2 linked regions of the Anolis sagrei genome follow. The protein of the gene in region 2 purifies or fractionates together with the protein of the main gene of each other region. This does not show direct contact. Links are inferred from orthologs where the notes say so. Each region holds a gene or a part of one and is shown on either strand. Other genes may lie near its edges.

What was found. Proteins that work in one complex are often made in the same cells at the same time.
Region 1: the proteins of ARFGEF3 (region 2) and PHB2 purify together in Homo sapiens (affinity purification with western blotting; 4 studies listed by BioGRID). This does not show direct contact. The link is inferred for Anolis sagrei from reciprocal best matches to the Homo sapiens genes ARFGEF3 and PHB2.

Annotation. Positions count from the first base shown.
Region 1 is NC_090022.1:198,282,440-198,289,419, forward strand, and holds the start of PHB2 (prohibitin-2), read right to left. Parts: upstream 3,023-6,980; 5' UTR 2,933-3,022; intron 1-2,932. Other genes in the region: EMG1 (ribosomal RNA small subunit methyltransferase NEP1), read left to right, coding at 3,206-3,328, 3,712-3,813, 5,527-5,668.
Region 2 is NC_090021.1:79,095,958-79,103,437, forward strand, and holds the start of ARFGEF3 (brefeldin A-inhibited guanine nucleotide-exchange protein 3), read right to left. Parts: upstream 3,055-7,480; 5' UTR 2,917-3,054; coding exon 2,832-2,916; intron 1-2,831. UniProt on the Homo sapiens protein: Participates in the regulation of systemic glucose homeostasis, where it negatively regulates insulin granule biogenesis in pancreatic islet beta cells. Also regulates glucagon granule production in pancreatic alpha cells.

The sequences.
Region 1 (6,980 bases), on a different chromosome or scaffold from region 2:
TATATATATATATAAGCACATTAGCTCATCAATGTATATTGTGAGCACATGCATACTTCAGGCTCATTGAATCAGTGCTAAACTAATTCATCTCCTACATTTCTTACCTTCCAAGAGAGGATTTATGATCTTGCTGTGTTGACCAGACCTCCATTCTCATTACCTCACCCATGCCCAGAAAAACAGCTCATTAAATTCTTTGCGGGGTCAAACTTGGAGGCTGTTAGAGCCAGATAAAACTAACTTTCAGGGCGAGGCACAGCAGCAATCAATACCAATTTGTGTTAGAAATTACAACCTTCTTCAAGCCTCTTCTAGTATTTTTTAAAATCTATAATCCTGTTGCTTACTTATTGTATGTATGTTTTGGTATGAAGCTTTCTTTCCTTGTTCTGTTTTTGTGAGAAGTTGTGGGAGGGGCTGCACACCACATGATCTGCTCTGGAACGAGCAGAGCACGGACTTCTTTAGACTTTGGGACTGCTCAGATCGCAGAATTGCAAACACTTGCCTTGCTGTTTATTCTAAGAGAGATACTCTGATCGGATGGCACAGATAAGTTTTGTATTGATTAGTTCACTGTTGTTATTATTTTGTATTATGTCATATTACTTTGATGTATTTGCACATGTTTGGGCATTGAATGTTTTCCTCTTTTGTGTGCAAACTGCCCTGAGTCCCTTTGGGGAGAGACTGGAATATAAAACTTGCTGGAAGGCAGCAAGTTTTATATTGTTGTTGTTATTATTATGACCTTGAACACATTAAGGTTGTGAGTAAACCAAATATGTTATTTTTTTACCAAATTCTACTCTTGAATGCATATTATAAAACATGCTGTTTTATGGGAGAGTAGATATATTTTTGGGCACTGAAAAACACTTCTGAAGAACTGCTATTTATGCAATGGCCTATTCTCTGTTTCCTAACAGATCAGAGATAACAGGTTGCTTCAGCCTAACAACTGAAGTCAATTGCCTTGAATGATTACATTTGGATGTATACCGCTTGAGAAGATTCTATTCAAACAGGTTTTTGACTCTTCTATAAAATGTTATAAATATTATTTTCTAAGAGGTTATGATCCCTTAAAGGTCATGCTTTTTAAAAAAATTGTTAGGCAATTAGCAATACACACAGTGTTGTTTGGCAAATCAAGAAGTGGTTAATACATATGCAATTGCTGAATTAAATACACATACATTTGTTAAGTAATTAAGTAGTTATTAGCAAGTGTGTTGAATATTTGTCAAGCAAAAACAAATAGCACTGATTTTAACTATTCCAACCTATGTCTCTTCACTTTCACAAAAATATGGGGAAAGATTTATTAAGCTGCACAAACTTTGTTTTTACGGCCTGCAGCCATGGTTCAAAACGGCATAGGAAAAGTTCAAAATGGCAGCCACCAAAACGAAGTGTCTGGAATACAACAACAACTTTCAAATTAAGGACTGCAACATGAAACAAAAGTTTCAAATCAGGAACAGGATTTCCCCCCTCTAATTTTGTTACACACTGTAATAATACCGATCTGGCAACTTTTAAAGAACAATGGGGCCAAAGACGCACAGCGCTGTTGTTTTGGGGTTTTTTTTGGCGCAGTGGGTTAAACCGCTGAGCTGCTGAACTTGCTGACCAACATTTTTGTGTCCAATTCTGGGCACCACAACTGAAGAGATATATTGACAGGTTGGAATGTGTCCTGAGGAGGCTGACTAAAATGATCAAGGGTCTGGAGAACAAGCCCTATGAGGAGTGGCTTAAAGAGCTGGGCATGTTTAGCCTGAAGAAGAGAAGGCTGAGAGAAGACATGATGAGGGCCATGTATAAGTATGTGAGAGAAAGTGATAGGGAGGAGGGAGCAAGCTTGTTTTCTGCTGCCCTGGAGACTAGGATGTGGACAAATGGCTTCAAACTACAAGAAAGGAGGTTCCATTTGAACATTAGGAAAAACTTCCTGAGTGTGAGAGCTGTTCAGCAGTGGAACTCTCTGTCCTGGAGTGTGGTAGAGGCTTCTTCTTTGGAGGCTTTTAAACAGACGCTGGATGGCCATCTGTTGGAGGTGCTTTGAATGCAAATGATTTGGAGGCACACTACAGCAATGCAGTTTTTTATAAACTAGTCCGAGCTTCACAATCAAAGGGAAATTTGGATATTTTTCCACTCTAGTTCAATAGGGCAACCTAAATGATGAAGGGTCTGGAGAACAAGCCCCATGAGGAGCGGCTTAGAGAGCTGGGCATGTTTAGCCTGCAGAAGGGAAGGCTGAGAGGAGACATGATAGCCATGTATAAATATGTGAGGGGAAGTCACAGGGAGGAGGGAGCAAGCTTGTTTTCTGCTGCCCTAGAGACTAGGATGTGGACAAATGGCTTCAAACTACAAGAAAGGAGATTCCATCTGAACATTGGGAAGAACTTCCTGACTGCGAGAGCTGTTCAGCAGTGGAACTCTCTGCCCCGGAGTGTGCTAGAGGCTCCTTTTTTTGGAAGCTTTTAAACAGAGGCTGGACGGCCATCTGTTGGGGGTGCTTTGAATGCAATATTCCTGCTTCTTTGCAGGGGGCTGGACTGGGTGGCCCATGAGGTCTCTTCCAACTCTATAATTTTATGAATCTGGGAAGTGGCGTGACCTCCCGCTGTCAGCCGCAATTCCTGCCAACCTAGCAGTTCTAACACATGCAAATGTGAGATCAATAGGTACCGCTCCGGGAAGGTAACGGCGCGATATGCAGTCATGCCGGCCACATGACCTTGGAGGTGTCTACGGGCAACGCCGGCTCTTCGGCTTAGAAATGGAGATGAGCACCAACCCCCCAGAGTTGGACGCGACAAGACTTAATATCAGGGGAACACCTTTACCTTTTTACCAAAATACATTCCAAACCCCGACTGAGCTAAACTTTGCAGAGAGACTGAGCTCCACTCACCACCTTTTGCTTGCTTGCTTGCGCCCTTTGGCTCGCGCTGCTCACCACGCCGTCGCTCTGAAGGGAGAAGGACACCGGATGTGACGAAACCCCCTTCGGGTAGCACGCGCCTCGGAAGTTCTCGCCTCTGCCCTGTACTTCCGGTTCCTGATTAAATTCCTTCAGAATAAACGAGTGAAAGGAGTCAGCTGAGCACGGGAAGGATGTTGAGCGGAAGTGGGAGGTCAAAGACCGGAAGTTGAGGCAGCCGGGCAACCAGCGAGCGTGCCGAAGATGGCGGAGGACTCATCGAGGAAGCGCCTGAGTGGAGACAGGAATGCGGGGCCGGATCCGCAGCGCGCGGGGAGGAGGCGGCTCCTGGTCATCCTGGAAGGGGCCTCCCTGGAGACAGTGAAGGTCTGGAAGGCAGCAGAAGGGATCAACATTTCAGGGACTGTGGTTTGGGCTCAGTCTTTGGGGAAGTGCGCCTACAGGCAAGGGGAAACTTAGGCCCTCCAGGCAAGGGGAAACTTAGGCCCTGTTTTGGGCTAGCCTGGGTCCTGCAGGTGTTTTGGACTTCAACTCCCACCATTCCTAACAGCCTCAGGCCCCTTCCTTTTCCCCCTCAGCCGCGGCTGAGGGGGAAAAGGAAGGGGCCTGAGGCTGTTAGGAATGGTGGGAGTTGAAGTCCAAAACACCTGCAGGGCCCAAGCTAGCCCACGCCTGATCTACGCTGCATTTATTGTAATCTCTGTGAAGAAAAAGTAGAATTTTCAAATAATTTGAAAATACACTTCCAGGTTGGGAAAACGTATGAGCTGTTGAACTGCGACAAGCATAAATCATTGCTCCTGCGAAGCGGCCGGGACCCTGGAGTGGTTCGACCGGACATCACACACCAGGTAATTCCTTGTAAAGCATAGTTTGCTATATGCTGTTCGCTCTTATTTGGAATATTGGTTGTCCTTTTGTGAAAATGCCATTCAAATGGTGTTGTCAGTTCTGTTTCAAACAAATTGTCATCAACATTTTATTTTTTTGTTATGTATTTATTGTGTCAGAAGCAAATTGAGGGACACTCTGAGTCCCTTCGGGGAGATAGAGCAGAATATAAATAAAGTTTTAGTATTATTGTTACCGTTATAATGTATTTTAGAAAACATGACGTTAAAAACTTGGCATCACGAGGGTTGAATGAAAAATGTCTCCACCTTCGTAACTCCTCAACAGTACTGGTATGCAGCAGGTACTGGCTTGTTCAGTAGACTCCTCTGCAGTTCCATTTTGGCGGGAAGCCTTAGCAATGAACAGTTGTGAAAGTGCAAAGTATGGAACTCTGCGCACACTGTCGATCAATGTTACTTAAGCAACGTGCAGTCATTGAGTTCTTGACAGCAGAAGGGGTCACCCCAAACGAGATTAATCTGAGAATGCAAGCTGTTTATGGTGATTGTGTTGATGTTAGTACTGTGTGTCATTGGCCAAGTAAGTTTAAAGATGTTGAGGTGGGAAATCTGACTTGCGTGACAAACAAAGAGTTGGACGTCTTGTTACAGCAATCACCAAGTTTCATAAGCAAAAGGTTGACAGATTGATTCAGGACAATCCTCATATCACTCAGAGATAAATTTCAAGCACAATTGGCATTTCACAAGAACATGTGGGTCACATTATTTCTTTGCTTGGCTATCGGAAGTTCTGTGCACAATGGGTAACCAGGATGCTGATGCCTGAAATGAAAGTGCACAGACTTGAAACTTCAGAGACTGGATCTCACCATCATACGACATCCTCCATACAGTCCAGATTTAGCACCGTCTGACTTCCATCTGTTTCCGATAATAAAAGAAGATCTGTGGGGACATCATTATGCTTCTGATGGAAACATTGAGAGAACTGTGAGATGCTGGTTGCAGAAACAGAGTGTCAACTTCTTCCGTGACGTCTTCAGAAAGTGAATAGTGGTAGTTAAAGAGCACATTCTAAGGATTATTTCTGCGTTTGATTTATTAAAACATTTCCATCCAAGCCCAAGAAACAAAGCTGGAGGCATTACTTTTCCTTCAACCCTTGTATATTAAACGTTCTTTGACCAATAGCTGGCCACTTGGAGTGCCTCTGGTGTCCCTGGGAGAAGACACTCCATTGTGCATGTGGCAGGGTTTAGACTGCAATGTTGTAAGTGGTTTGTGGTTTGCTCTTTTTCACACTCACATGTTGTGGACTCCACTTTGAGGCCCCATTTCTTAAGATTGGCCCTGCATCTGATGGTCCCAGAGCACAGTCTCTTCTGTGCCTTCCAAGTCTTCTGTGTGCCCAGTGGGAAGTTTCTAGTCCAACCCCATTCTGCCATGCAGGAAAAGCACAAAGTACCCCCAACAGATAGCCATCCAGACTCTGTTTAAAAGCCTCCATGGAAGGACCCTCCACTGTACTCCGAGGCAAAGAGTTCTGCTGATAAACAGCTTTTACAGTCGGGAAGTTCTTTCTAATGTTCAAGTGGGATCTCCTTTTCTGTAATTTGAACCCATTGCTCTGAATCCTAGTTTTCAAGGCAGCAGAAAACAAGCCTGATTCTTCTTATGACATCCTTTGCCTTTCCCACTTCCCCTCAGAGCCTCCTGATGCTCATGGATAGTCCTTTGAACCGAGCTGGTCTTCTCCAGGTTTATATCCACACAGAAAAGAATGTTCTGATTGAAGTTAACCCACAGACAAGAATCCCTCGCACGTTTGATCGCTTCTGTGGCCTGATGGGTAAGAGAATGCAATCTATAATTTCTCCTCTAATCAAATGCTCTGAATGAGAAGGGCCTCAGGTTTAAATATTCCAGGTTTGCGGGCCTTTTTTTCTTGTAGCTGCATATCACTTTTCACTGCTACTGGATCTGTAGTAACCTCGAAGTGGTAGTTGAATTTCTTGAGAGGGCACTGGAAAGTACAGAGTGTTTCAAATTGATGGATCCAGTTTCAAAGCCGTGTAATTCATGATAGCAACATATTACAATTACGCAAAAATTTACAAACAGTTTAGTGCGTTATCAAGTTTTACTAAGCATTTTGAGCCAGAATCAAATTTAAAAGATAACTCCGCAAATGAAGAATATCTCATTAAGCCTTATGTTGTAGGGGTTGCCTTCTTGCAAATGACTTAAGGCTCTTGGTGTATTAGGAGAGGCGGCATCTAGCAATAATAATTGGAAACTCTGCCTCACCCTTTCAAAGAGTAAGAGTTTGTTTTTTTTATTCATGAGCAGTTTGTGATTGCAGAGATATAGCCATTTCAGTTCAGGTCCATCTTTTTGAATCATCCTGTACTTCATACAGGGTGAAGCAGCATAGCTTCCTTTTTTAAAAACTTAATAAAACCCATTGTATGAATCAGAAATTTTTAGGTTTTTTTTATAATGTAAGCGCATACCTAAAGTTTTGAAGATTAAATTAGGTAGGTGACGTCCTCCATTCTCCATACACCGAGTAAACTGATTTCTGGCGTTTGTCATGGCTTGCCAGCATAGCAGGCATTATGTTGGCAATTTCTTCCTGGATTGTAGGGTCCTTGGACGGTTCACATAAACACGGGATTTCAAAAAACCCATAGAAAAAAATCACAAGGGGTCAAATCTGGAGAGTGGGCCGGCCACTCCAAATCCGATGGAAAAGTAGGCCTCAATGGCAAAAGCACGCTCCTCACTGTTCCAACGCATGATGGCGACTGAACTGTGTCAGGACAAAACTTTATATTCCCGCCTCTTGAATGAGACCACTAGCGCTGCGCTATGTCTTCAACCGACTGAATAGCGCGCATTTTAAAAAAAGAAGTTATGCTGCCTCACCCTGTACATTATGATAATGTCACAGTGAAGGTTCATTCTGGAGAGAAAAGTTATTTCTTGCAGTACACTTGACAAAAGGATCACCTTCAATGAGAAATAAACTCAATTTGGTTAGAAAGGATTATGCAGCTCCTAAGACTAGAAACTAAGATAAGATTAATGGGAAGAAATTACACAAAGCAACAGAATTAGAAACTCTGTAGTAGGAAGAAGTCAACGGTAGGCTACATGGA
Region 2 (7,480 bases):
CTTCCAGGTGTTTTGGACTTCAACTCCCACCATTCCTAACAGCCTCAGGCCCCTTCCTTTTGGTTAGGAAAAGAAGGTACATCTCATACAACTGGGGGGAGAGAAAATCTGAACGGCTGGAAAATGCTGTGTGGATGCACAATCCTGATCACTCTGCATATTTATAGAACTATAAGTAGTAAAAATAAAGGTTTCTCCTTGACATTAAGTTTAGTTGTGGTGGTGCTCATCTCCATTTCTAAGCCAAAGAGGCGGTATTGTTCACAGACACCTCCAAGGTCCTGTGGCTGCCTTGACTGCATGGAACGCCGTTACTTTCCTGCCAGAGTAGTACCTATTGATCTATTCAAATTTGCATGTTTTCGAACTGCTAGGCTGGCAGAAGCTGGGCCTACAAGCAAGAGCTCAGCCCACTCCCTGGATTCTAACCACCGACCTTTTGGTCAGCAAGTTCAGCAGCTCAGCAGTTTAACCAACTGCACCACCGTGGGCTCCCTTTATAGAACCATATTCCTTACTTACTTACTTAGGTGATTCCTCATTGCCAAAGGATGATGGTCCTCCAAGTGTAGGGTCCTAGTAGTGGGTCCGTAGATGACTGTGGAACCCTATTCTTGATCTGCAAGTTCTCCCACAGTGAGGACATCGGTTTCCAGGTGGAAGGTGGTCCCGGTCAGGGTTGGCTTGATGTGCCTTCCTCATAGCATGTTTCTCCCTTTTGCCCTCCATTAGTGCCTCTTCAAATTTTGCAGCACTGCTGGTCACAGCTGACCTCCAGTTAGAGCACTCAAGGGGCAAGGCTTCTCAATTCTCGGCATTTATGCCACAGTTTTTAAGCCCATCTTTAAATCTCTTTTGCAAATGTGAGTTTTCTATTCTTGAGTTGGGAGTATAGGAACTGCTTTGGGAGACAGGGATCGAGCATTCGGACAATGTGGCTGGTCCAGCGGAATTGATGAGGTAGGAGCATTGCTTCAATGCTGGTGGTCTTTGCTTCTTCCAGCATGCTGATATTTGTCCGCCTGTCTTCCCAAGAGATTTGCAGGATTTTACAAAGGCAACGTTGCTGGAATCATTCCAGGACGTCTGTAGACAGTCCACATTTCGCATGCGTATAGCAGGGTTGGGAGGACAATGGCTTTATAAACAAGCACCTTGGTCTCCCTACGCATGTCCCTGTCCTCAAACAATGGAAGAACTATATTCCACCCTAACTGCAATGCTGAGGAATATTGTCATTTTCAGTTTAGGGAAGACATTTCAAATTATTAGCTAAGGCATTCTTGGATGTCACAGAATGACAAGCCCTGGAATACCACGGGATGTTGCCATGGTAGTTAAAGTGGGATATAGTTGCCTCTAGTTTAGACTAGTTGCGTCTAGTTTGGACTACTGCAATGCACTCTACGTGGGGCTTCCCTTGAAGATGGCCCGGAAACTCCAATTGGTCCAACATTCGGCAGCCAGATTAATAACTGGGGCGAATTACAGGGAGCAGTCAATCCCCCTGTTTAAGGAGCTCCATTGGCTGCCGTTCATCTTCTGGTCCCAATTCAAGGTGCAGGTTATCATCTATAAAGCCCTAAACGGTTTGGGACCTGCCTACCTTTGTGACCGCATCTCCCCCCACCAACCTCTTCTGATGTGCCTTTGGAGAGTGACCATTCACCCCATTTCTGTTTGTTCCACCTACAGTGTTTCCCCTAAGATGCACTTTCCCCTGTCCTAAACTGAAAGCCTAACTCCACTGTTCATCCCTTTGGGCTTCTCTCAAATGCACTTTTCCTACTACTACCTCATCCAGGGTTTTATCATTTTACCTTGTCCATTGTGTTCAATTTTATATTATCTTATTTTGCTTTGTTTACTCTATTCTGCTACTGTATTGTGATGTAATATTTGTTGCTTTTTGTTGTTTGCATTTTGTATTTTATTTTGCTGTATTGTATCTTTGGGCTCGGCCTCATGTTAGCCGCCCCAAGTCCCCCTCGGGGAGATGGTGGCGGGGTATGAATAAAGTTTATTATTATTATTATTTATATAGGTATCAATATAATGGTGTAGTGGGAGAAGTGCAAAGTACAGTAAAGCTGGGTCTACAGGGAGTATAATGCAATTTGGAGCAGTCTAGTCCAGCTGTGGGCAAACTTGGGCCCTCCAAGTGTTTTGGACTTCAACTCCCACCATTCCTAACAGCCTCAGGCCCTTTCCTTTTCCCTTTTCGCTTAAGCGGCTGAGGGGGAAAAGAAAGGGTCCTGAGGCTGTTAGGAATGGTGGGAGTTGAAGTCCAAAACACTTGGAGGGCCCAAGTTTGCCCATGCCTAGTCTATGTAGATCCACATAATGCAGATCATGTCAATGAAGTGTAGATCCAGCCTCAGAAGGAAAGGGAAGAACTGGTGTTGGATCTGGGCTCCGGTCTCCTGCGTGGGGAAGAAGAAGAAGGAGCTTTCCAGGAACCAGCCACCCTGGAAGCAGCAGCCAGGCGAGAAAAACAAAAAGCGGGCTTGCTGCTCCGTTGGTTTGTGGGCAGTCCGGGCGGAAGGCCAAGAGGCAGAGGGCCAGGCAAGGAGGACGCCTGACAGCTCCCTCATCCGCGGAAGGCAAACCAGACCAAACATCAACACAGCGAGACAACAGGGCGCGCGTCCCTCCAAGGATGCGCCTTTCCACGGGGGAAAAGGAAGGCGACACCGCGGGAAAAGGACCCCGCAAAGCCCCCCACGGCCCCGGGGCACCTCTCTCGGAGGTCTAGCCTTTCTCCACGGGGGGAGCATGCCCGCCCGCCCCTTATTGCCCTCCCCCAAAGCCCCCCCCCCCGCCATCCTCACCGGTGGCCCAGGCGCAGCTCTCCTTGATGGCCTTGTGCTTGTTCCCCGAGGCTTCCTTCTGCAGCTTCTTCAGGGTGCCTTCCATCTTGCCTACCTGCCTTGCCCTATCCCTCCTCCTCCTCCTCCTCCTCCTCCTTCGTGGAGCCCCGCTTCAAGCGCGCGGCATCGGCGGCGTTGATGAATCACGCGGAGCGGCCCACGACCCGGGAGACGTCACGCGCGGCAATCCCCCCCTCTCTCTCTTAATCCCCGCCTCCTCCGCGCAGACGTCCACGCCGGGTCTTGGAGAGCCTGCCTTTGGGCCAATCGCTCCTCCTCTCGCCGCCTCGGCTGCACCTGCCGCTCCCTCCAACCCTCGGGCGACAGGGAAGGGGAGCCACGCGTGGAGCCGCCGGGAGGCGCTTTGGAGGCGGCACAGCGCCCGGCCTGGCTTTTGCTGGGAGCCCCAGATAGAGCAGACCCCTTGGATCAATAGGGTTTACTCATCAAGGGGAGGGAAGGAGCCTCCGGTGGCTGGGAGCCCCAGATAGTGGGCTAAACCCTTGTGCCGGCAGGACTGAAGACCGACAGGTCGGAGGTTCAAATCCGGGGAGAACGCGGGTGAGCTCCCTCTGGCAGCTTCTACTATCCAATCTAAACTGGGGGAAAATTAAAAACCCTGTAACAGCTGGCTAGAGATTCGGACACCATGAGTCCATGGCTGGCATTTATAAGCCCTGCAAGCTAGAGAACAAGGGTGTACCTACACTGCACAATTATAACATTTTGATCCCAATTTCATCTTAAGAACAGACAAGCATCTCAAGCTCCGAGGATTACCTGGGAAAGAATCCCACTGGAGCATTGCAGGACACCCAAATACCTGGGAGTTACCCTGGACCGTGCTGTGACCTACAAGAAGCACTGCCTGAACATCAAGCAAAAAGTGGGCGCTAGAAACAATATCATACAAAAGCTGACTGGTACAACCTGGGGATCACAACCAGATACAGTGAAGACATCTGCTCTTGCGCTATGCTACTCTGCTGCTGAGTATGCATGCCCAGTGTGGAACACATCTATCTCACCACACTAAAACAGTGATGTGGCTCTTAATGAGACATGCCCCATTATCACAGGGTGTCTGCGCCCTACAGCACTGGAGAAATTACACTGTCTAGCCAGTATTGCACCACCTGACATCCACCGGGGAGTAGCAGCCAATAGTGAAAGGACCAAGGCAGTGACATCTCTGGCTCATCCCCTGTTTGGGTATCAGCCAGCACGGTAGCGACTTAAATCAAGAAATAGTTTTCTAAGATCTACAGAGACACTCGCTGGAACACCTCAGCAAGCGAGAGTCCAAAAGTGGCAGGCTCAAACCCAGAACCTCAATCAATGGGTGATACCAAATGAGAGATTTCCTTCTGGGCACACAGAAAACTGGGCAACTTGGAAGTGCTGAACAGACTGCACTCTTGACACCATAAGATGCAGAGCCAACCTTAAGAAATGGGGCTACAAAGTGGAGTCCAGGACTTTGTAGTGTGGAGAAGAGCAAACCACAAACAACCTATTACAATGCAGCCTGAGCCCTGCCACATGCACAATGGAGGACCTTCTTATAACAAACCAGAGGCACTCCAAGTGGCCAGCTACTGGTCAAAGGACATTTAATAGAATGCCAAGTTTGCAAACTTTGTGGGTTTTTTGTTTTTGTTTTTAAATACAATACAACTGTTTGGTTTGCTCCTGATACGATAAATAAAATCCCAATTTAGCTGGCGTGGCTCCATCCTGTAGATGAAGGAAAGTACTATTCTGCAATATATGGTGTTATATAGAAACGTCAAAGCATTTCTAATAATAGAGAAAAATACTGTTTTATGAACATGTAGTATATTGATAGCACCTGGCTAATGACTGTGAGTGTTATGATGCAATACCTAAGGGGTGTGGTAATGGCCGAGTCATAACTATGTGAGGGTTTCTGCAAAGGGATTGCATCAGCCAGTGTCCCTTGCTGATGACCTATCAGCAGGTGGCTATATAACAGTGGTTCCCAACCTTTTTTTGATCAGGGACCACTAGGACCAGAGGCAACTCTCCAACATTAGCACCAAAAGGGTTACAAATTGGATTTTGGTCAACTTTAGATTTGATTTGGTTATTGATCATCCCTGCCATAGGATGTCATAATGGCTATATACAAAACAGCAACTCAAACGGCATCCTGCTTCTCACCAAATGTGCGGAACACAACCTTGTCATCACCAACACGCTCTTCCGCCAGAAAAACAAGTTCAAGACATCATGGAAGCACCCCCGGTCAAAGCATTGGCACCTCTTAGACTATGTAATCACACGTGCCAGAGACCGCCGTGAGGTGCTCCTCACAAGAGCCATGACAGGTGCTGACGACTGCTGGACTGACCACAGGCTAATCCGATCAACGATGGCTCTCAAGATTGCCCCCAAGCGCAGGCTCCAAGGAAGAAAGACAAGGCGCAAAATGAACACCCAAGCCCTTCAGGAGCCCTCCAGACGAGCCCATCTCCAAACAGCACTCAAGAACCATCTACCCACAGAACACCCCGAAAATGTTGAGGAACACTGGAACAAACTGAAGACCTCCATCATCACAGCCTGCGAAGAAACTATTGGATATCAAACCAAGAAACATCAAGATTGGTTTGACGAAAATGACATCGAGATCCAACAGCTAATTGACAAGAAAAGGAAAGCCTTCCAAACATGGCAGAGAGACTGTGCTGCTAAGAAAAAGATCTACGCCAGTGCAAAAGCTGAAGTCCAAAGAAGGACAAGAGAACTCAAGAACATCTGGTGGACAAAGAAGGCTGAAGAAATCCAACACCTGGCAGATACCCATGATGCTCAGGGATTCTTCAAAGCCACAAAGGTCATCTATGGACCAAGAAACCATGGCATACAGCCTCTACGCTCATCAGATGGAACCAAACTCTTGAAAGACCAAAACTCAATTGCACTATGTTGGAAAGTACACTACCAAAGCCTCCTGAACCGCGGCTCCGATGTGGCCGAAGAGGTCCTCTCACAAATCCCGCAACAACAAACTAGGGATGAGCTTGCAGCACTGCCTAGTCTGGAAGAAGTCAGCAATGCCATCAGCCAACAAAAGAATAACAAAGCCAGTGGACTGGATGGGATCCCTGCTGAAATCTTTAAAGAGGGAGGACCTGAGCTGACACACCAACTCCACCAGCTCATAGAAAAAGTGTGGGTGACCGAGAAAATCCCAGCAGATTTCAAGGATGCCACCATCATCACCCTCTTCAAAAAAAGGGAAAGAACAGACTGCGGAAACTATCGAGGTATCTCCCTTCTAACCTCCGCTGGGAAAATCCTTGCAAGAATCCTTGCAAACTGCCTTCTGCCCCTCTCAGAAGACACCCTCCCAGAATCCCAGAACGGCTTCCGCCCCTCCAGAGGAACCGTGGACATGATCTTCACTGCACGACAGCTCCAAGAAAAATGCAGAGAACAAAATCAACCTCTGTACATGGCATTCATCGACCTTGCAAAGGCATTCGACACAGTGAATCGCAGCGCTCTCTGGACCATCCTCCAAAAAATCGGGTGCCCAAACAAATTTGTGAACATCCTGCGGCTCCTCCATGATGACATGATGGCAACAGTTTTGAACAGCAATGGCTCCCAAAGTGACCCATTTAAGGTGGAATCGGGTGTCAAACAGGGATGTGTTATTGCCCCAACTCTATTCTCCATCTTCATCACTATGATACTTCACCTTGTTGATGAGAAACTTCCCACCGGAGTGGAAATCATCTATCGGACAGATGGCAAGCTATTCAACCTCAGCAGACTGAAAGCCAAAACCAAGGTTACAACAACATCTGTTATAGAACTCCAGTATGCTGATGACAACGTCGTCTGTGTGCATTCAGAAGAAGATCTACAAGCCACTCTAAACACCTTTGCAGAAGCATATGAGAAGCTAGGCTTGTCATTGAACATTGAAAAAACCAAGGTGCTTTTCCAGCAGGCACCAGCCAACCCCTCACCAATGCCAGTGATACAGCTTAATGGTGTAACATTAGAAAATGTTGATCATTTCCACTACCTTGGCAGCCACCTCTCCACCAAAGTCAACATCGACACCGAAATACAACACCGCCTGAGCTCTGCAAGCGCAGCATTTTTCCGAATGAAGCAGAGAGTGTTTGAGGACTGGGACATCTGTAGGGATACCAAGGTGCTTGTTTATAAAGCTATTGTCCTCCCAACCCTGCTCTATACCTGTGAGACGTGGGCTGTCTACAGACGTCACATGCAACTCCTGGAATGATTCCATCAGCGCTGCCTCCGGAAAATCCTGCAAATCTCTTGGGAAGACAAGCGGACAAACGTCAGCGTGCTGGAACAAGCAAAGACCACCAGCATTGAAGCGATGGTCCTCCGCCACCAACTCCGCTGGACCGGCCATGTTGTCCGGATGCCCGACCACCGTCTCCCAAAGCAGTTGCTCTACTCCGAACTTAAGAACGGAAAACGGAATGTTGGAGGACAGGAAAAAAGATTTAAAGATGGGCTCAAAGCCAACCTTAAAAACTCTGGCATAGACTGTGAGAACTGGGAAGCCCTGGCCCTTGACCGCTCCAGCTGGAGGT